Linked DNA regions of Lytechinus pictus. The protein of the gene in region 2 purifies or fractionates together with the protein of the main gene of each other region. This does not show direct contact. Links are inferred from orthologs where the notes say so. Each region holds a gene or a part of one and is shown on either strand. Other genes may lie near its edges.

What was found.
Region 1: the proteins of histone deacetylase 11-like (region 2) and PAX3- and PAX7-binding protein 1-like purify together in Homo sapiens (co-immunoprecipitation; 3 studies listed by BioGRID and IntAct, counting the BioPlex papers as one, with this or other methods). This does not show direct contact. The link is inferred for Lytechinus pictus from reciprocal best matches to the Homo sapiens genes HDAC11 and PAXBP1.
Region 3: the proteins of histone deacetylase 11-like (region 2) and autophagy-related protein 2 homolog B-like purify together in Homo sapiens (co-immunoprecipitation; 3 studies listed by BioGRID and IntAct, counting the BioPlex papers as one, with this or other methods). This does not show direct contact. The link is inferred for Lytechinus pictus from reciprocal best matches to the Homo sapiens genes HDAC11 and ATG2B.

Annotation. Positions count from the first base shown.
Region 1 is NC_087248.1:6,350,391-6,357,795, reverse strand, and holds the start of PAX3- and PAX7-binding protein 1-like, read left to right. Parts: upstream 1-4,360; 5' UTR 4,361-4,516; coding exon 4,517-4,751; intron 4,752-7,405. UniProt on the Homo sapiens protein: Adapter protein linking the transcription factors PAX3 and PAX7 to the histone methylation machinery and involved in myogenesis.
Region 2 is NC_087247.1:25,632,765-25,640,362, forward strand, and holds the start of histone deacetylase 11-like, read right to left. Parts: upstream 3,065-7,598; 5' UTR 2,865-3,064; coding exon 2,770-2,864; intron 1-2,769. UniProt on the Homo sapiens protein: Responsible for the deacetylation of lysine residues on the N-terminal part of the core histones (H2A, H2B, H3 and H4).
Region 3 is NC_087251.1:38,311,782-38,319,284, forward strand, and holds the start of autophagy-related protein 2 homolog B-like, read left to right. Parts: upstream 1-4,458; coding exon 4,459-4,626; intron 4,627-7,503. UniProt on the Homo sapiens protein: Lipid transfer protein required for both autophagosome formation and regulation of lipid droplet morphology and dispersion.

The DNA.
Region 1 (7,405 bases), on a different chromosome or scaffold from region 2:
TTGATTCCATTCTCATTTGATTAATTTACGTAATATAAAACGTTATCAAAACAATAAATACAAGATAATACGCTGTGGCCTATGTATAAAAATACAGTGAAAACATTGATATTTTTATACATTTGTAACTGTTATGCCATATGTGAATATTGTTGGTAAATAAATAAATCAAATCAAATCAAAATTATTCAAATTAGTAAACAATCATATGGAAAATCATTATTTCTGTATGTACAACAGGCTATATTTCAGAAACATGTTTGGAATGGAGGTTTTATTCCTTAGTTTTACAGGATTTATTACAGGATATTATTTCATTTAGCTTTCCAGTTCCATGCGACTCGCTGGGGGGGGGGGTGCAATTCTTATAAATTTGTTACTGCCTATAGGCCTGTATTCATGTTTTATCAATCTTTTTACTGTATTTTCCATCACGGTTCCTTGAATCTATGAACTACTTGATTTTTGACATGTGCAAGTCTTGGAAGATATTTCTGTTCTTCCAAATATTATTTTGCGCTCGTTCGATTCACTCTCTCGTCCAAACTACTCGTCATGCCGCTGCTGCAGTGCATTACCCATACCTCCACCATGGAGCTATTACATAGCTCCATGCCTCCACCGTGTATTATTATTATTACGAGGAAGTCTGAAGGAGAGTCGTGCATTGAAACAAGTGGGTTGATATTGCTTTCCAAAGAAAGCAAACAAAAAATACCTCCATTTTACGAGGAATAGACTGGTAGGTCGTTGGACACATCAGCGGTGATAAAGACTCAGATATTGACATATAATAGCCAATGATTTATTACTCCATCCAATTACTACCTGACTTTTATTTTCCCGGTGTTTTATTTTCAGATGTCGAGGTATAAACCAGAAGTGAATCCAGAATAGAATAGTAGTCCATGAGGATTTTCAAATGAAAGCCATAGGAAAGAAACTCCAAATGTCAGTTGGCCTATACTCCCTAAACTCATAATACCAATACTTCAGAGACAGCTAAGAGTCTGGTATATTCTATAGCTGAATTTTAAAGTTTCCAATATAAAGGGACTTATGAAGATAGTGTCATTTCACTTATTAATTATCCACAGCGCGCTAAATGAGCATTCCCTTTTTCTCCAAGGCATGATAAATGCATGCAGGTATTTATTCAGATTTAAACTTTGGGGAAAATTGTTTCCCCTTTTCTGAAAGGTTAGGCCTACTGGTGGCAATATTCAAGATGGGTTAAATGAGATAAGCCTATAAGAATTGTTCTTAACCCCCCCCCAAAAAAAAAAAAAAAAAAAGGAAAGAAAGAAAGAAAAAAAAAGAAAGGGGGAATGAAAGCAGGAAACCGTTTTCGAACAAAGTTGCTTTTACGACTGAAGTGAAAGATCGTAGGCCTACTTTGTTCCTGGACATGCTTAACGTATTACCAAGTAATTTTGTTGCAATAAACCATAATAACTACAAAAACGTGAATAAACCCTTGGAGAAATAAGAAACAAACCATTAATATTTTAATCAGATAATATAAATTCTAGTGAGCGCAGTCGGGGTCATTAGGACGTCTTTGTTCTTCTATTCATGGGGGTAATTCAAACCGTTTTCATGGTCAATTCATGGTTAGTTTATGATGTACAAATACGGTTTACGCCTTCCACGTGTTGTTTCAGTGTCCAGGGGTCCTGTCCAATGGACAAATGCCGCTACCCCCTCCCCCCTCTAAAAAGAAGGGGAGAAGAAGGAATGGTGTGGTAAAAATATAAAATCAATGTGAAAGGTCAAACGTGGACGGACGATTATTGAACAGGATAATGATATAAGAACTGCCCCCTTCCACTTGTTCAAAGTGGATGAGGAGTGAAGAGAAGGGGAGGGGGTCTGAACGGTTCCATGACATTTGGACATTTGCTCTGGCGACATTTGCTCCGGCGACCATTGTTCCGATGGAAAATCTGCACGTTAAGCCAAACATGAAACAACCTCCCAAACTAATTAAACCCTAATCATTATTATTACATTATTCTGAACCGAGAAACTACTGCAATCCTAACTCGAACCCTATATGCCCTCTCCTGAGATGGACCGGAGCAAATGTCGCAGGAGCAAATGTCGTGTCGCCGATTGGGTTGACCTTGATTGAAACTTTGATCAACGAGTGAGTCTTGAGTCATTCGGTTTAGAACAAATTGATGTCGTGGTAATGTACGGGTTTGAAATGCCAAACATTTCATTTTCAACTCAGGAAAATTTTTGAATTTGGGAGATGAGCTTTCATTCCACATGCTCAGACGGTTGATTGTAAAAATGGAAAGCGACCTCGATTTGTTTCAGCATGTTCAGTGTATACAAGCAAATACAGTTGTAAAATGCATGGTCAAATGTTTGCAAATAAGTAGTAATCGTCGCGTTTGTTTTTTGGCCATAAAATTATCAAGGCTGCACAATGTGCTCAAGTAAATGGGCCAAGATAATTTGACAACATGGTGTATGAGGTAACATTTCTGAAAAGTTGCGAGCGAGCGAAAATGTTAATCTGTTTGAAGTAAAAATCCATTTTGCGATAGATTTTGACATGATAATCAGAAAATTAAATCATAATGAACCATTATAACTTTTTTTGTTCTTCTTTTCTCCCTCATGTATCTCCAAACTTCGAAAGAACATCTCATGTGTTTTGCACGTTTATTTCTGTTCCCCCAGTTGATACAATTTCATTTTCTACGCTCTCTATAGAGGGCGATATTTCACAGAGAGGAAAGTAGAATATTTATCACTGATGAATATTCTACCCATGCCTTAACAAATGGATAGATATATATGAAGATAGGTAGATATATAGAAAGAAAGAAAGTAGACAGATAGATAGATAGATAGATAGATAGATAGATAGATAGATAGATAGATAGATAGATAGATAGATAGATGGATGGAAATCGTCATTAACAACAGAGTGAATTCGTTTCAAATGGGTCATATGGAAATTCGGCCCAAACTTCTTCTCTCTTTTTTTTTTTTGGAGGGGGGGGGGGGGTATCCCCGGGGGTATCATCTCCGGTCCTTCCCCCATTTTTGTTATCAATACTGTATCATGCTTATACTACTGCCCTGCATTGACAGTAATGATTCATGAGCTAGGCCCTTATCTTAATCTTTTTATGCTATGTGTATATTCTCTCCTTTATTGTGATTTCAATAAAGTGATATCTAATCATTGAAATGGCATGCCCTATACAGAACCTTATTAATTATTGGTTTTGCAACATTTTTCATAACAAAGATCTCGAAAAGAAAATACATATCTAGAATTCGACATCACAGATAATGAACAAATTAAATCATCAAATGTACTATATATAAACAATCTAAGCGGTATTTTCTGTTACCCAATGAATAAAATGGTTGCAAGGGTCGTCACAAACGCAAAGCTTGAAAGCGTGACAATCCTGCATGGAAAATATCAAAAATAATTATCCACTGTCAAAACGTGCAGGTTTTTCCACACACGTTTCAAGCTTCAATCTATTCAGACTTTAAAGAAAAATTTGCATGAAATCATCAATAATACCAAACAAAATACAAACAGCAGATAACATATTTCAAATCCAAAACACTTTCAATAACAATAACAAATACAATATACAACTCTTCTTTGATTACTCCATACAATCCCTCTCGCAACCTTAGGTCTTCTAGTTCTTTCTTACTCGCTGTACCACAATCTCATAATTCATGGGGGGATCGATCATTTCAACATGCTGGGCCTTTCCTATGGAATAAACTGCCAATAGAAATCCGCAATATTTCTTGTCTCATCACTTTCAAAAGTTCTCTTAAAACCTGGTTATTCACGCAAGCTTTTAGGTAATTGTTATTCTACCCCTCTTTTTAGTAGGTTTTCTTTCTTCCTTCCTTTCTTTTTCTTTTTCCTTTTCTTTTCTTTTCTTTTCTTTATTGCGCCATGAGCATCTTTTTATGATGGATACCGGCGCATTACAAATGTTCATATTATTATTTTATTATTTATTAATATAGGCCTAATGATTTAAAAATAATATGGAATGATGAATTCAAACTGAGTTTGCAATATAAAGTGATATAATTTGATCAGGATAATAGATTATTTGCCCTTTGCATAGATAATTTGGATTTGCATAGTTTGATATAGGTCTATTTCAATAGCAGCATTTCTTTATCAACAATTTTCTCTTTTTATAATATTCACATTCAAGTAAGTACATAATGAAAATCATTACCTAGCGCGGTATGTGGAGATGAGGTTGGCTCATCCTAGCTATTCGCTGCTACCGCAATGAATTGTGCTTGTATAATATTCACGGAAATAATACTGCTGCTGAATTGACTATACATATTTGGCATCAGCAAAATCATGTACAAAACTAACGTGCAAACTTCGTCATTCATTTTTGTACACAAAATCGACTGCTTGATTTCATTTTCGGGCATGTTGTACTTGTGGGTCTGAGGACTTAAATCCCCCATTTTCGGCCAATAAAGTATCAAGATGATGAAGAAGAAACGTAATATTCGGCAGAGGGGTAGGACAAGTGACAGTGATGAGGAAAGAGCTGAACCAGTGAGCACAAAAGGAAATCAAATTCCGTTTTTGGAGACGGATTACCACACACAAATCAAACAACTTGAAAAAGAAAAGTCCAACAAAAAGAAGGAAAAGTCCGAGAAGAAAAAGCAAGGATCCAGTTTGCTGACATTTGCTTATGATGAAGACGACGGTGAAGGTAATGGGGTGCTAAAAATTGGTAGTTAAAATTAAGCCTGAGTCGAATCGATTTTAAAATCGGTGTTCGATCGATGTCATCGAACGCCGGTGCAGATTTTGCAATAGGCCTACTCGGTGCATCGAAAAAAAAAAGAAGATCAAACGTCGGCCAGCCGTTTCGTTTGGTTCACACAATCATCAAAATAAACGGTAATGTCTAACTTAAGTACCGTATGGGTACTAGTATTCAACCCGGCATAATTCAAAGATTTTGACATATTCCCCAAAATATTTAGAAATTCAAATAGGCCCTAGCCTAGGGAATTTATCTTAATTTCACACCTTTGTTCTTTCCAGGGTAATCTGTTGTCGATATTTTCTTTGTCAATCTGTCGACTGTATGCGCGGAGGATCGAATTATGCGGCGATGGCCTTTTGCACTGAATGGTACTAGTATTCAACCTAGTGAGGATTGATAGCAAATCTCAAATTCAAAAGGGTTTAGATTGCTAAATTAGATCTAGATCTATGTAAATCTCTGGCTTTGATTAATTCCCTGTTTGGTCTCATCTCAAATGGTCTAGTCCATAGTCGGATGGGACAAGGGCAGATTGAGAGACAGGGCCATCTTTCATCGCTAGGTTGAATACTAGTGCCGACGGGTTGAATACTAGTACCAAAATCCGTCGCCGTAAAATTCGATCGCCCGTGCACACAGTCAACTGGTTGAAGAAAAAAATAACGGAAAAAGAATAACCAGCATTTGCTCTTGGAAATAAGACGGGTCTGAAATTCAGGTAAATTCTATATTTCTATATATTTGAGGAAACTCTCCAAACGGGTTGAATACTAGTGCCCTTACGGTAGGCCTACTACTTGATTTATGTTTCCCCCAAAATGAAACTGTGTAATTATGAATTGGGTCCTAGACTCCTACATGTCCTAGATCTAATTTGAATTGAACTTTATTTCAATCAGAATTCGACTTGGACTTACTTGTCGATGAATTCATGAATGGAGTCGTCGCCATCAATTGCGCATGCGCAGTATACCGGTAGTACTGTGCTTTTTATTTTAATCAAACCAGAAAATTGACGCGATCAACGTACGTAAAAGTAAACCTCGCTTTCAGTTTCATGAACAATATTAACACGATTAAGGTGCTAATGCAGTTTCGCACCGGACGATTACCATTTTTATAAGGCAGTAGAATCTAAAAAATTGTTCACAAATCATGCATGCATGTGTTAGTGGCAAATGTCATATCCCTTTCTTAGGCCATACTAGATATTAGCAAGTCTCTCACTCAGTCTCGGTCGCATTCCAAGGTCAATATACCGACTGCTTTTCCGGATATCGCGATCAGTAACGCCAACATCGCTTCACTAGGCTTCGCCGCTCGCCGTTATGCACCCAAGGGTTCATTACATGCCGCCGCGCACAGAAAAATCAAGCCATAGAACTAGAAGTCGTGTGTTGTGGACAACAGAAGTGAGATCCCAGCACGCGCGACCCACTAGTTCGAAATCCACTGCCAAACGCGGTTCATGGTGCGAGGTTAGTATACTAATACTAACCTCACAATACGTGTGAGTGGCCGTTATGTTGATAATGGTACTGTCACTACTGAAGTTAGCGACCAAAAGACTCGCCTGCGTGCTGCGGCATGCCGGCAGTTTGTTTGCAGCATGTTCACATGATTTGGTTACTAACTTCAGTCCATATCAACATTATGGTGCACGGCGAATCCAAGCGAAGGGATGCATGACTGAGGATTCGCACGACGATGTTAAGAGCATAGCCAAAATGCAGCCGTTCCTGATCACAATAATTGGAAAAGCGGTGGGTATATTGACCTCGAAATGTGACTGGGAGACTTGCTAGGACATTTGTGAACAGTTACTGGTGGTGAGGTATGCTGGTAATCGACCAGTGCGAAACTGCATTAGCGCGCAATATTAATATCATGACCATAGAACATTATTTAGACCTCTAATAGTAATATTTTAACAATAATTTGCATATGATAATCATTTTAAATTCAAATGAATTGAGAGCTTGATGTGAAACATGTATTACATTTTAATTTTGAATGACGGACATCAAATCACGATCGACGTGAGTGCACTTGTCTAAAAAAAATTATCACGTCAGGATTGATTCTCGAACATTGTCAATATGCATTAACTCTTCTCATGATCGTAATATCACCATATGATAACATTTTACATGACAAAACAGAAAATTACGTTTGATATTTTTCCCCATCAATTTGAAGCTCTTTTGTGCTCTTTGGGCTCTGAATTCATGAATGGAAAATACGTCATAGAATGCGCATGCGCATTGTGCTTCTTTTCTCGGAGACGTCCAGAGATGGAATAAAATTAATGACAGTATTAACATTTCCATATGAACATAAAATACTTTACTGACATTGCCAATATTTTTAGTACATGTATGGCTATAAAATCTTATGATATCGTAATATATTTAACATCCAATAATAATTTATATAAATTTAGAGCTCGATCTATGACATTCATATTTATTTTGATCCCTGCATGCTCTTCACTTGTGTCTAAAAATAAATAAAACATGGATTATCAATCATATCACGATTCTCGAACATCGTCATAACTCATATTCAACAATCTTTCCTCACAATCGTTATAT
Region 2 (7,598 bases):
GTTCACGTATGTAGGGAGCTCTTAATACTGTACATGCAATTACATTTGGAATTGAGTATAAATGGCAGGAACCATCAAGAAACAGTAAAAGTCAACTCTGCCTACAAAGTATACATGTACTTTGCATACATGTTTAATAGTTAAATAATTAACTACATATAAGTTGATGGACTTTCATTTGAAAAAAATTTAGTTTAACCTTTAGTTTAACTTCTCATAATTGAATGCAAAGTGGCCAATTTAGCCATTGAGAAGTTCAGTGTTGTAGCCAATGCTACACATATTGGCTTTCTCTACAACAACTGGTTTCCACTTGCACCTTTAACACTAGTGTGTTGTAGGCAAGGCATAGCCTGGATCCTTAAAGGACAAGTCCACCCCAACAAAAAGTTTATTTGAATAAAAAGAGAAAAATCCAACAAGCATAACACTGAAAATTTCATCAAAATCTGATGTAAAATAAGAAAGTTATGACATTTTAAAAATTTTCGCTTAATTTCACAAAAAGTTATATGCACATATATCCTGGCTGGTATGCAAATGAGGAGACTGTGACGTCATCCACTCACTATTTCTTTTGTATTTTATTATATGAAATATTATAATTTTCTCCTCATTGTCAAGTGATACAACAATTAATTCCTCCCTGAACATGTGTAATTAGCATTGTTTAATACTATATGGTTCAGTCAAGTTGGTCCTTATTGTCAAATCTATAAAAAATGAAATATTGTATAATTCAAACAATAAAAAACAAAAGAAATAGTGAGTGATGGACATCATCGACTGACTCACCAAGTTGTGCATATCACTGTTTTGTGAAAAATAAGGAAAAACTGATAAATATTTTTGCAGATTAGGTGGTCGATAAGGGGTAGTTCCAACCATACATGCCTTTGTTCGTTTGTCAACAAACGGTATACCAAAGTCTATAGATCTACAATGAAAAGACTGAACATATTGCCGACTTGCATGACACTTTGCATTGATTTGCTAGTAAAATAGTTTGAGTGCCTCATCTTTTCCATGATGTAGTGTCAATTGTGCACCCTCTTAAGGTGAAAAATTCCTATATCGCTTTGACAGTTAAATGGCTCTCGTCAACATCAAGAAAAATCATTTGGAAAAATCAAGAGAAGGATGAAAAAGCGGGAAAGTGACTTCATATTGTTCGGTAAGTTTATAGTTTAAATCTATTAATGTAGTGATTAGGCATTGGAATTTCACACAATCCCATGGACGTGTTACATGCGTTGTGCCTGTGATTTTCTATGCGCAGCGCATGTTGTTTCCATGGGTGATTCAATGACTGAACATGAGTGAATGAGGCCACTGATGCAGGCCACTGATGCAGCATGCACTAAACATACCCTGTGTTTGGTAGTGGTACAGTATATTCGAGTGCGGAGTGCGGACATATCAGTGTTCGCATTTCAGACCATTGAGATCTAGATCTAGGGGACTTTTCTTTTTTTCCTCATTTGGGGCGTTGCAAGAAACTTGCGATCAATTGCAAGTCTATTTTCGTTCCCGAAATCAATCATACGCCATGCAATTAATTGATTGCTCATCTGCTCCATGAAACAAGGAGTGTAATCTGATTTGTTAAAGCTAAATGAACGTAGTTGCAGTAAAACACTGATTTCGTGAGAAAGTCTGTAAAACCAAGGTAAAGTATTGATATATCATCGTGGATCTAGATCTGGTACAGTTACATAAACTGAACTTTGTGGAATCATAATATCTAGCTAAAAAAATGATCACACTGAAGATCGCCGACACAGATAGGCACACGTGGGACAGTGTATTATTATTGCTGGAATAAAGACCCGAAGGAAGTGACCGAATCCGCGCTTATTTTGCTTATTTCTCAGCAATTACACAATTTCTTCCAGAATCCTTTGGCACATATTTTTTATTCATACAAACAGACACTTTGGTGATCATTATATTAAATTCTGTAAAAAGTCATTTTGAGATCATTCCCACAACTGGAATTTATCTTTAAAAGTGATCAATCAACTGTAGAATTGCAACAGAATATTTGCGATTGCAATTATTTTCTTGCAACACCCCCTATTCATGTTCCGCACCTTCCCACAAAATACACACCCCTTTTCCCATGTTTTCTTTGTCGCGGATGCTGTCACTGTACTGTCCAATGGCAGGTATCTCCGCCCACCCCCCCTCCATCAATCATCTAAAAACATGACACTATTTTCTTGACTCTGAGTTTTAATGTCACAATTTTTAGATCTTGATTCTAGACTAGACCTATAGTCATCCCTAGCCAGGAGCTGCCATGGGCAGAAATCCCAGGGGGGACGTGTCCCCCCTACTCAAAATAGTAGGGGGACACAATATTATCAAATGTCCCCCCTACTAAGTACTATTTGTGGTCTTTTATGATGGTAAGAAATACATCATTAAAAATCGAAATAAAACATGTATTTTAGGACGAGATGACCTTACTTTTGGGATGATACCTTTTTTTTTTTTGCTTGTCAAATTTTCCAGCCCTGCCTTGTCCCCCCTACCTTTTGGGAAAGATTTCCGCCCCTGGCCAGGAGGCTCCTAATGTTAGAGAGTAAAAATCATTCACTAACATATTGTAAGCTCACGTTATCGTTTAATAATAGTGAATTATTTTACTCCCTAAAAATTAAAATAGGCGGCTCTAACGTTAAAAGAGTCTAATCATCTCCAGAGTCCAGACTCCATTTATGATTTTGATTTTTTTTTTGTCAGAATATTTCTCGTGTTTCTTACCAATGTTTACTCTCTCTATTCCCATTCCTTTCTCCTTCGGTTAATACAACTTCTCCGTCTGTGGTTTTTAGCAAACTGTCTCCAGATTCTGCCATATTTGTAGAAATTGTAGACCTATACGGAACATCGTTGGTAGCACCTGAACCAAAATACGTCGCAATATATGCAATCTAGCGAAAATCAGACAATCGTGATCGGGGCCGCGCTGGGCCCGGGTTTTGGAAAGGACCGTTCGTTAATAACTCGCACAGGCCACAGCTTTTCCGTATGTTCGCCAAATTTACGGTACCGTACTAATGAATATTCATGATTGACGTCATGTACCTGTCAATGGATGTCATGTAAACTCTCGGTAAACCAAAACTCTCCACCTCCCTTTTCTTGATATTATAATTTTAATTCATTATTTTATTACATAAATGTTGGCTAGGATTCATTCCTTTTTCAATCAAACTAAGATTTTTTGGAAAGCTCACTGCACTCACGACTACAGGCATGTGGGGTCCATTATGGGGGCTCTCCTTCTAAGCGGGGAGGGTCGGCCTTCTCAACCCTGAAAATGTATATTTTTTATGCACATACACAAAAATGAATATTGTTTTGTGTATTAATATAAGTATGCAAGTTTGTATAGAATGATAATGAAATGAATCTTAGTTTCAAGCAAGCATAATTGTTATTTTTATTGTTTAAACACGCTGGATAAAAAAAAAAGATGCGTAGAAATAATCTAGATTCATAAAACTTTTTAATGGATTCCTATCTAGGCCTATATTTTATAGCAAAATAATGGTCGAAAGTTATAACATAATTATATCAGCTTGATTATGTATCTCTTATCACGCAGTTTTTAAGGGCTTTCGTCTTTTAATTATTTTCTTGTAAGAGTTAATTGGAGGCGGGGCTCTGTCATTGGAAATGGGCAAAACATATAGGCCTATGGAGCAAGATTTCTAGAATGTTGCAAGCGAGTGAAGCAAGCGAGCAAACATTTTGACGTTCTTTAATATGATAAGCATATTTTGTGTTAGATTCCAACAATTTGAAAAAATTATTTCACCCTTTTCCCATTTTTAAAAAAATCATTTTTGCTTTTGGTGATAGGAAATTTGGGGAGGGGACCTTGGAATATATTTGGACCTTCAAGACCGTATCATAAGCAAAATAATATATATGCTATTTTCACCAAATGACCCAAAACTCGGCACTTGGAACCCTATCAATAAGAGATTCAATGAAGGGGCATTTTTGTGCAAGATTAAATAGCCCCCCCCCCAAAAAAAAAAAAAACACACACACACACACTTGATACCTCTACTCCTGAAGAAAGGCCCCATTCAATGGAATGTCTCACTTTAGGCCCTTTGGTTACCGTGTCGTGGGTAAATGTACTAATTTCTACTAAAGTGCCCTAATTGATTCCTGCGTGGGTTCAAAAGTTTCACAAGATAAACTCAAAATTTCTTACACGGTCGTTACGCTCTCTCGCAGGCATATAACATACATTCATCTCTTTACTACAATATCAATAGTACTGTTATGTATTGTGTTGTACATGTAGGTACAACGCTCATGTTGACGGGCGAAAACTAAATTATTATTCTTGCCCTTTTCCACAGCGCTTTTGGGGTTTAAAATTCTAAATTTCATTTATGAAATAGTAGACTTTCTTTCGGTCTCTAAACTTATGTATATCATAATTGTCCCTTCGATGCAGGGTATCTTTTTAAGGTAAAAATAATGGTATAAGTTTCACTGATTAAAACGATTTTCTGGCTCGGTTGCTACGCCTCTCGCATCTAGGATGCCGTCACATTACCCCCCCCCCCTGCATGGGTTTCCATCATACTTAGGTGTGTACTATGCGTTTCAGTTTCACTTACGGTACGACTGTTATTATAAATTGAAATCGCCTGTAAAATTAAATGGAATTTAGCTTCTGCATATCCTTCTCCTGATCGGTTGATTCAATTACAGGTATATAGCAACCATCTCATTTAATAAAGACAATCGAACATCCTATCAAAAATTTGGATTATTGACCCTGATTAAGAATATTAACCGTCTTATTTGCTTGTGAATATATAGCGACCCTCTCATTAAATTATGACTAGCAACTCTCTTATTTGATTAATATTATCGACCATCTTATTCAATTACAATTATTGACCCTCTCATGTGATTATGAACAGCGGCCTTTATGAATGAAGGCCCCTTTTCCGATTACGACTATAGCGATCTTCAAGAATAGCGGGTGTAGAACCCCGTTTCAACACCGTCAAATAAGTCTAATGTACTCATTGCTATCTACTGAAGATAAAATTGAATGTTATCTTCAGTAGATAGCAAGGAGTATATATTCAGCCAACTGACCAGTTAGTTTCATTGGACCGCACGGCAATCATTAATTTTGCATGAACGTGATTTCAAAACAGTTTTTAGTATTGTACTTGTTTCGGACAAGGTGTTATGAAATTGGAAGTAATTACATCAAGCTACAAAATATTTACTCCTGATCTAAAAGTCATTCTTTTGAAGCCGATGCTACATGTAAGGGGGATTTAAAAGGGCAGAATATTATTTATTTAGATAAGATAAATATTATTATGTGATATGAATACCAGTCGGTGGCGGTGCGGCGGAGCTAAGTTAAAAGTGGGGGGCACAGGGGAAACGGGCACCTTTTCTTTCGAAAAGGGCACTATCTTAAAACAAAGAAAAAAAGACTTATCTACCCCCACTCACATGGCTTATGAAACTTAAGACACGCGGGATTATTCTTACAAGTGTTTTCCTTCATGAGTAGTTATACATATAAGGGGCACTGATTCAAGAAAGGGCACTTACAAGAAGGCAAGGGGGCACTCTTTAACACATAAAACGGGTCTTTCTCAGGTGAAAAGGGCAAAGAACACGTTCGTGAGGGGCAATTTTGGGTAAAAATGGGCACTAATGCGAGAAATGGCACTTGCTAACACATAAAACAGGTCCTTCTCAGGTGGAAAGGGCACAAAACATATTCAAGAGGTTTTTTTTTAATTGGCACTTATATTAAAGAGAAAGGGCACTTGGTAACACCTAAAATGTGTCCGCATGTGAAAGGGGCACAGTACATGTTTTTGAGGGGGCATTTTTCTCGCATAAAAAGGGCACTTTTTCAGTGCTTCAAAAAGTTGAGGGGGGCTGTGCCACAGTCCCGCTAGGATCGCCGCCCCTGGTACCAGTCCTCACTACACTTAGTAGAATATCCGAAATTATTTTCTTCATTTTCTTTCAAGCTCTTAAAAAAGTCAAAAATGTCATCTTCACAAAATTCATTATGCTGACATAGTGACAAAGTTCTTATAAAGTCGATGTAGAAAGATAAGTTATGTTCATATGTCAACGTATAAATTTCCAGAAGTTTACTTTATCATTTTACTCTCTATGATGTGACAACATCTAAGTCTCTAAAAGTCGACTTGGAGAAATGACTTATGTCGCCATGACGACCTATAAACCTTTTTGAAGTTTACTAAATTGCCATTGCGACATGTAACTGTCTAAAAGTCGACTTGGTAAGACGTCTCCATGGTAAGATGTATGATTTCGAAGTCGACATGGCAACATACTCAAATTATAGTTGGCAAATTGCCATGTAGTGCTTGGCACGATAAAATATAGACGGCACTTACAAGCTTCCGTAATTTTCTGTTTCTCTTCACTCCCTTTTTTGTGTGTTTGAGGCGATGTGTGGTACGAGATTTGAGTTGATTTCATTGTTTTCTTCTTCAATCATAACATTCATATGTAATACATGTTTCATTACATAACAAACATAATATATTGCTTAGTGTTTTTTGGCATGAATCATTAAAAAAATGAACTACATAAAAAGTCATTCGAAACAGATCTGATCTACTACCAAATAATTTCAACATATACAGTTTGCAGGAGGATTGTCATTGTTGCTTTGAACAAAAATGACAAGCCCGGATTAACACTCATTAAATTGATTAAAACATTTATAAAGCAGAATGGCAATATTTGTTTATAATTTTAATGATGAAGATGGAGATGGTGAGGATTAGGATGACGGTGACAATGGTGAAAATGAAGGCCATGATGATGACGATGGTCATTGGAGAGTGTTTGGTGATGATAAATCAAAGGAAGAGTGAAGAGAGATTGGTTAGAGTTTGAATGTGTGAGCGTGTGCGTGAGAGGGGAAAAGGAAGCCTTTCTGCTTATTATTGTTAGCGTTTTTATTTAATTCTTCTTTAGTTTGTTTGATTTTTCATTATTATTAAGGAGCATTTTTTCAGTGAGAATTTGCTTCCAGAGCTATGTCCTTCCGTGATAATGACAACCCCCGTAAATGCATGTGCAGCTGGGTGTATGTTTATGTCATATATTTTGTTAAGGGGACATGAATTTTATTTTGTTGATTTAATCATGTACGATGCGTTTCACTTTTCTTAGGGGGCAGAAAAGGTTAAAAATGTGTTTCAAGTATCAGATTTTCAGGGCAGGCTTTCACAAATTCTTGAATAAACCTTAAAACATTCATTGATTGAATCTTCCGAAAACTGACAGGCCAGATCACAATTCCTTCATTCTATCTTTCATGGCCCTTAGCTCCTAAAATCATTCAAAGCTTCCTTTTCCTGACAGTATATCTTAAATTATACATGACTGAATCGTTAAATTTCATGACTTTTGTCCAGCCGTTCTTGTCACCTATTTAAACTCAAACATGTTTGTTGGTTTTGGGGGACGAGTAATCAATATAATGCTTTTGGCGTAAACCTTTCAGATTGTACCGCCATACAATACTGTTTTGAATGAAT
Region 3 (7,503 bases), on a different chromosome or scaffold from region 2:
ACTTAAGTTGTGATTTTTTCGGATCACGTTAAATTTGCAGCGGACGGGACATTTCAAATTTATATTATATTTGCCTACTTCTTTGTATTATGATAAAATGTAATAATTTCCATTATCTACTACAGAAATGTAAAAATAGGATTTGCAACTCATTTCATGTGTATCATCACTGCTGTAACTTATTCGGTTACGAGGAAAAAATGTTTTTTCTTAAATATTTCATAGAAAATGCGATTATGACATCATTATTTATTTCTTTACATATTCACGAAGACCTGCATAAAATCAGTTTATTGAAATGGTGCACAATTTCACATTTCAAACAACTCCCTTGTTTTCCATCCGATTTGGATGAAATTTTCATTGTTTTAGTTATTTGACTGTACCTTTTTATGTCAAATGTATGTTTTGGCCCGGAGCATTCCTTTTATTTATGCAGACGATTCTAAACAAATATTTTGTGTTCAAGAGTTTAATATTGGTTCCATTTACTTTCTACTGTAAAAAAAATCCACAATCGGATGATGTATATTTATATATTTTATCTAATCTCATTTGATTGTAAACTTTTCGGATTCAATAAATATCTGTAATTTTAATGAATGAAATAACGATATTTTATGAACTAAACACACATAGATCCTATCCCAACAAACGATTAAATCTTTGAATATCAAGCAAATGAGAACAACACAAAATATAGTGGCATTGGATAGAAAATTCACAGTCCTGAGGTTTTACTTAGAAGTGGGCCCCCCCCCTCCAATCTCTTTTTTCTTCCCACTCTATGTACCTCCCTCTCCCTTGCCTCTCCTTCTCCCCGCTCCCTCCCCGTCTCTTCAAAATCACCGATTTGACATCAATTTATTTTAAGTTTTAGTAAAATTTATATCAATCATAATATGCACATATCACCGAGTGAAGAAACATAAGGCTCAAGAAATGTTTTCACAATCCTTGTTTTTGGGTTAGATAATTTCGAACATAAAATCTTCAGCAATACAAAAAAAGAAAACCGAATAAAAATTAAATTCTGATATAACTGAAGATAGTACAATTTTCAATGCATATTTTATGTATTTCAATAAATCTCATAACCAAACAAGAAATGAGATCTTTTGTATGCTCATAAATTTATGAAACGAATAATTAACAGCTTTTGTACAAGCAAAATATATATAAACACACAGGACTTCATTATTTAATGCAATCTTTAAAGGATCTGTCAAAACATCCGATCTATTCGTGAATGTGTCCGACGAAAACACAATATGAAGGTCAATATTACCGAATGATAATTGTTAAAACGTAACAGAAGTTTGACTGATTCTTACAATTTTGGGGGTGGACACGTGCATATTCACCAATATATCGGTTTTTCTCATGTAATCCTTCAGAGTGTATGGTCGAAATAGACACAGATCGAATAAAATTATTTATACTCTTGAAATGAAAATGATTCGACTATTCAACGATTCAAACCAGAAATAAATTCGCAATGATTCTAAGGTCAAAAATTGATATACATTATTATACCATCCCTACTTGGTAGAACACGGTGTGTGTATCACAGAGAGTGCATAGCGTGGAACACAATGTGAACTCACCTTCACACTGTTTAATTTGAGCATTTCAACAGTGTTAATCACATATTCAAACATACAGTCGACTGTGTGAACACGCTCACACTCGAGCTGTCCACAGATTGAAAATATAGCTTCACATGCATTGTTGAATTTGAGAATTTTAACAGCTAGTGTGAATAATATTTTCACATAGTTCACTATGTGAACGCACATGTGATCACATTGTATTCGTTCCAGCGGGGATATTCTGGTCACATTAACCTTTAATTCATTCATAAAATGGAATGGTGTCAATTTTGACTGCAATCGTATAGTGCCCTTGGGATTCAGGGTTACAGCAAAATAATTATATCAGTAAACATGAAGGGTTGCGGAAGGGTTGTTTGATTGACTTGGAATCAGTGTTCAGGGATCGTGCTGCAACTCTTAAAACAAATCACTTAAAAGTGATTAGCTGTAAAAGAGTCAGCTGGATCGATGCTATATAGTCTCATTTTACTACAACAAAGTAATTTCGGATACACCTTGCTGACTATACTAATCTAGTCAAGTTTACTATTTTTTAAAGAGTGTTGGGCGTTGATGTCCGTGAGATCTGAACGGTGTGTCTGTAGTCATATCTGACTATGTTTTATTGGCCCCCATTCTTCACGTTATGTAAAATATTGTTAACTGTAAAATGATAGTATTTACATGCAAATAATTTTTATATATATACATATTTGGCGCAGATTATCTGCTCTCATACGTTCACATGTATATTGTTCATAGGTGCAATGGAAATATAAATTTAGATTCCATCTCTGTGTTAATCAAAGAACCATCGTGTTCCGTGAATGTAATCTAGAACATCCCTCTTAATTAACCTAATTAAACATCAACATACATTATTGGTGTGGGGGACTGGAGCCCTCCCACATAAAGTAAAACTCATTATATTTCAATAACTCTTGTTTGAAAAACATGATTTTCATCAGATTTCCTTGAATGTTTTGGCCGATTTTACGTTTCACATGCCAAATCTATGATAACTTGATAAATGTGGGGTTTTTTTGCCAATCTTTATTACTCACTACCTTCGCATGCACGCTCTCCAGAGAAAATGTAGTCGTCAAATCTCAGCCCTCAATATCAGTGCACCATTTCGACACAGGCGTGACAACATTCCCAAAGGTATAATATTGCCCATTGGGATCTCATATGCACGAACATGTAATTCATATTTTTCTTGTTTAAGTTATTCTTTTCATGATTCAATATTTTATGTTTCAATAAAAATCGACTTACCCCTTCCTTTCTCCATCGCGAAGCCGAAGACGACACCGGACGCAGCCGTCATCAAGAGTTTGACGCTGACCGGAAACCCGTGTTTCGTCGTCGATGACGAGATAGTTGACGATGACGACGATGGTGGTGCTTTCCTCGGGGTTTCCCCGTTTACCGCGTGATGCGGGATGCTGCCATTGGATGCCGTTCCGTTCACGAGCCTGCCTCCGGAGTACTTACTGTCTCCATTTTCACAGTACTCTGCATGAATTAAATGACCGTTCGTCGTGAAACCCTTCCCATCTTTCACTAACGGAGACAAAGTCATGTTCGCCGATTTCATGAACGGCACATTCCCGTTGGCGTCACAATCTGCAGGCTCACATTTAAAAGATCTCTGGCGGGCTCCTGTGGTCATCGTGATCGTCGGCGCCGATTCCATTATGATACTGTCCCCCTTTTTTTCAGACGAAGAATACCTGACGATCGAGAATGAAATCAGAATGAAAGGAGATGATATTTTGTGTTCAGCAAACAGCCTATTAATATTTGATCATTCCTATCATGCCTTGCCTTTATTTGAGAATAAATAATCAAAGTTTAAAAAAAAAATGATGGGAGTTAGACTTTAGAACTCCACACTCAGTGGAGCACTGTTTGATCAAAATAATTTAGCAGCAGTAAAGAGTAGTCAGATGCTGACCCCGAGTGTATATTTGCTCTTGACGTTACTCTTTTCCGCCTCGTCGCGAAAAGGGTTGAGTTTGAAAGTCAACTAAAAGACGGACGGCAGGGCAGATAGATCCGAAGGAAGAGAGAAGAATAAAAGTAAAGGACGAGGAGAAAACGTGCTGTGATGAAAGACAGGTTTGATACCAAGTAGAGGGAAATTAGAGAATGCGTGGGCAAGAGAGCAGAGTTGGATGCCTGATACTAACGAGTAAATCGAGAGTTGGACTTGCGGATCGTTTCGAGATCTGGTGGGCGGGTGGCTACTGAGAAAAGTTGAGGAAAGTAAATGAACTCGCGTGCTGCTAATCAGGAGCAACTGGGAGCTTTCTCAGGTGAGATGGAACTAACTTCTGATAACTTTGGGTCATGCAGCCACTTTTAGTAGCTAAGCAAGAACCACTTTAATTAGACATCCAGGGCAGGCGAAAAGCGCTTCATTGTAGAAACAGACATGCGCATAACGACGTTCTCTTGCACGTTTCGTATCTGCCTGCTGAACCCTGACAATAATGGAGTTAGCCGAATTTTCACGATGACTTCGCGCGAGTGTGTCCTTGAGTTCGCATGAACTTTTTCTTCTCTTTTTTGAAAAAAACTCAAATGCTTACGATTTGTGCGCGAGCCTGAATTAATGACACACAATAGTATTGAAAACGTCACCCTCCCTGCGTGGAAAAATAAGTAATGGAAACAAAGCTAAAGCGAGACGAAAATGTAAACGCCCTCTCTTGGCGAAAATGAAAATCATAACAAATTGATAAACATAGAAAATGGCCGAATGACGTGAACGAACTCATGGGGAAATCCCAAACATCGATCATTAGCGGTTTCTGCCTTATTTTCTTCGTTTTTTGAATGAAGTTCATCGAGTAAAATGCCGTGGTACTTCCCTTGGCCTGATTACATAAAGAAAAAGGCATGCAGGTATTTACTTCAGCGATATGTCGGCAATTTCTTGGAGGAGAAATTGACTCTCGATCAGCTGAGTGTGGATATTTACAGTGGCACTGGAACAGTGAAAGACGTAAAGCTTGATGTCTGGGTATGATTCTTTTTGTTTTGACTTTTTATCATGTACCTACACTACAGGTCTATTTATATCTATAAAAATAGTTATAGTTTTTTCCACAGCATGGGCTTCATGACTGTTAATTGAATGAGTGAGTAAACTTATAGTAAACTATTGGCTAACCGCTCTAAAAAAAAAGTCCAATCAGATGATCTGGCTGGGGATTTAGCTCCTGGGCAATCCATATGATTGTATCACGAAATTGTGATATTCCCATTGGAAATGTGTGTATAGGAATTGCATGCGTTAGTAATGGTAATGGCTCTTATCATGTATCTTTGTATGATGTGTTGTCCATATTTCATGCTCATTTCTAAGAAGTAAGATAACATAATTAGGCTTACCTTTAGAATCCAATGTCATGAATCGATTACAAAAATCTCTAGATTTTAAAACGAGAAAACAACGGATACGACGTACCGGTACTTGTTAACTTTTTATTTAGAAATTACGTTTTTGAGATAAAAGCGGATACATGGATACTAAGATACGTGGATACACATGGATACGAGGATACGTGGATACTGGGATACGTGGATACTACTACCGTACTGATAAATGGATACATGGATACGAAGATACGTGGATACGCGGATACGTGGATACTACTACCGTACTGATAACTGGATACATGGATACGAGGATACGTGGATACGCGGATACGTGGATACTACTCCCGTACTGATAACTGGATACATGGATACGAAGATACGCGGATACGTGGATACGAGGATACGGGCAGCTGGGATAATGTTTGTGGATACGGGGGAGGGGGTACAGGGGAGTATCCAGCTTTCGCCAAAGGGGGGGGGGTGGAAGGAGGGAGAGTCGTGGGGGTATGTTATACAGGGGAGGATCCATGCACCTTTCGCGAAAAGGGGGAAAAGAAGGGAGAATCAGAAAATATTTTCATCCACATTTCAGTCGGTCGATCTGTCGTTAACTAAAAGTAGAATTTTGTTGGTTTATATTCTTTTCTTGGTTTAACATGGCCCAGTGCAGTACGTGTCTCAGTCATCTTATTTAAAAAAAAAATCATTTTCAAGACAATACAGGCATATAGCTCATTTTTTTGTCCTTGTTTAAATACTTTTCCTTTTCCTTTACGTTGTTTTTCTCCTTTCTTTTCTTCTTTTTTTTTTAAATATATTTTTCTTTTCTCTTTTATATTCTTCCTTTCTTGTCCATTCTATTTTTGTTTCTTTTTTAATTAAAAGAAAAATTGTACAGGCCTACCTATTTTTTTTTAAATCAAATTCTTGTGATTTTCACAGTAAATTATAAGACAGAAAACTGGACTTTTGGTTCGTATAATTAAAATAATATATACATGTATATACCCTTCTTTTTAGAATTGTAGAGCAATATTTTTGCTGTTTTTTTCTCTATAAATCTAGAGATTATGATGAATATGACATGGATTCTGAATGTTTAGGAGGATAAATATGAAGCGATTCGTATAATATAGGCATAGCTCATTTTCTGTCCTTGTTTGAACCCCGCGGGGGGGGGGGGCACTTACATTGACGAGTGGATACCATGCGCGACCAAAAAAAAAACACGTAAAAAGGATGTCTTTTTCACGATAGGGCACGTTATGTACGTAACGTGATAAGGGTGTCAAAAACACAAAAATAATGAAAAAAGGGTATCTATTTCGCTAGGAAAATTACGTGTTTAGGGTCGAATTCGCGGGGATGATAAAACAAAATTAAAATGTTTTATAAAGGATGTCCTTTTTGCCCCAACACTTCGTATTTAGAGTCACGATTTGCGCGAGGTGTAGAAGGTGGGGTCGTACTAAACCAAATAAGGTAAAGCCGACGACCGAAGGACCCGTAACAATAAAACATTCCTGTACTTGTTTTCCTTTACGTTGTTTTTCTCCTTTCTTTTCTTCTTTTTTTTAAAATTATAAGTAAATAAGTAAAAAAATAAGTAAATTATAAGACAGAAAACTGGACTTTTGGTTCGTATAAGGGGCGCATTTTCAGAATATGGAAATTACGTGTTTAGGGTGCTTTTCGAGACCCCATGGTCGCGCATGGTATCCACTCGTGAATGGAAGTGGCTCGCGCTTCGCGCTCGCATTGCCTTTGTAATGAATCCCATTCAAGAGAATTAAATGACATTTCATATATCCAGTTCTGAAATCAATTTGCACACAATGTTTTAGCTCGCACCTCAAGCTTTCATTATTTTGTTTGATTTACACAAATTGTTATATAAAAGTTTCCAGCTCGCGCTGCGCACTCGCATTGTTTGATTTGTGAGATACCTATCCTCTTTGGAAATTCTTTCCAAAATTTGTCAAAATGCTCCTTTATCATGTCAATATACAAAAAATTAAGCTCGTGCTTCGCGCTCACATTTAATTGTTCGAGACACACAGCTTGCTTTTTTAAGGCGGTTTTCCACTAGGGCGCGGACAAGACCAGGAAGGGTTGCGGAAGCTACTTTTGTCATTTCGGCATGCTGTCGGCAACCAAATTCCGTAAAAGATTATGCAAATGATCTTGTCCTAGGACACGATCAGGACTGTCTGCGTATTGTCGTAGGACATTCCTGGAACTGTCCTGTGACAAGATTATCTAAATCAATTTGTCGGCGTTCGGCGCGGACAGCATGCAGATCGTATTAGGACAGAACCGGAGACATTTAGGACAACGTCACGAGTGGTAAATTTAAGGACGAGGACAATAAGAATAATTTTCGGACAAATTGCGAATACTCCAAGAAAATTATCGTTCATATATTTTTTTTTAATGAATTTAGGGGTGTTATTTGGGGTTTGGGGTGCGGTTTTTTTTTAAAGAAACATTGATTTTCTTATTAAATCCGATCTAGGAG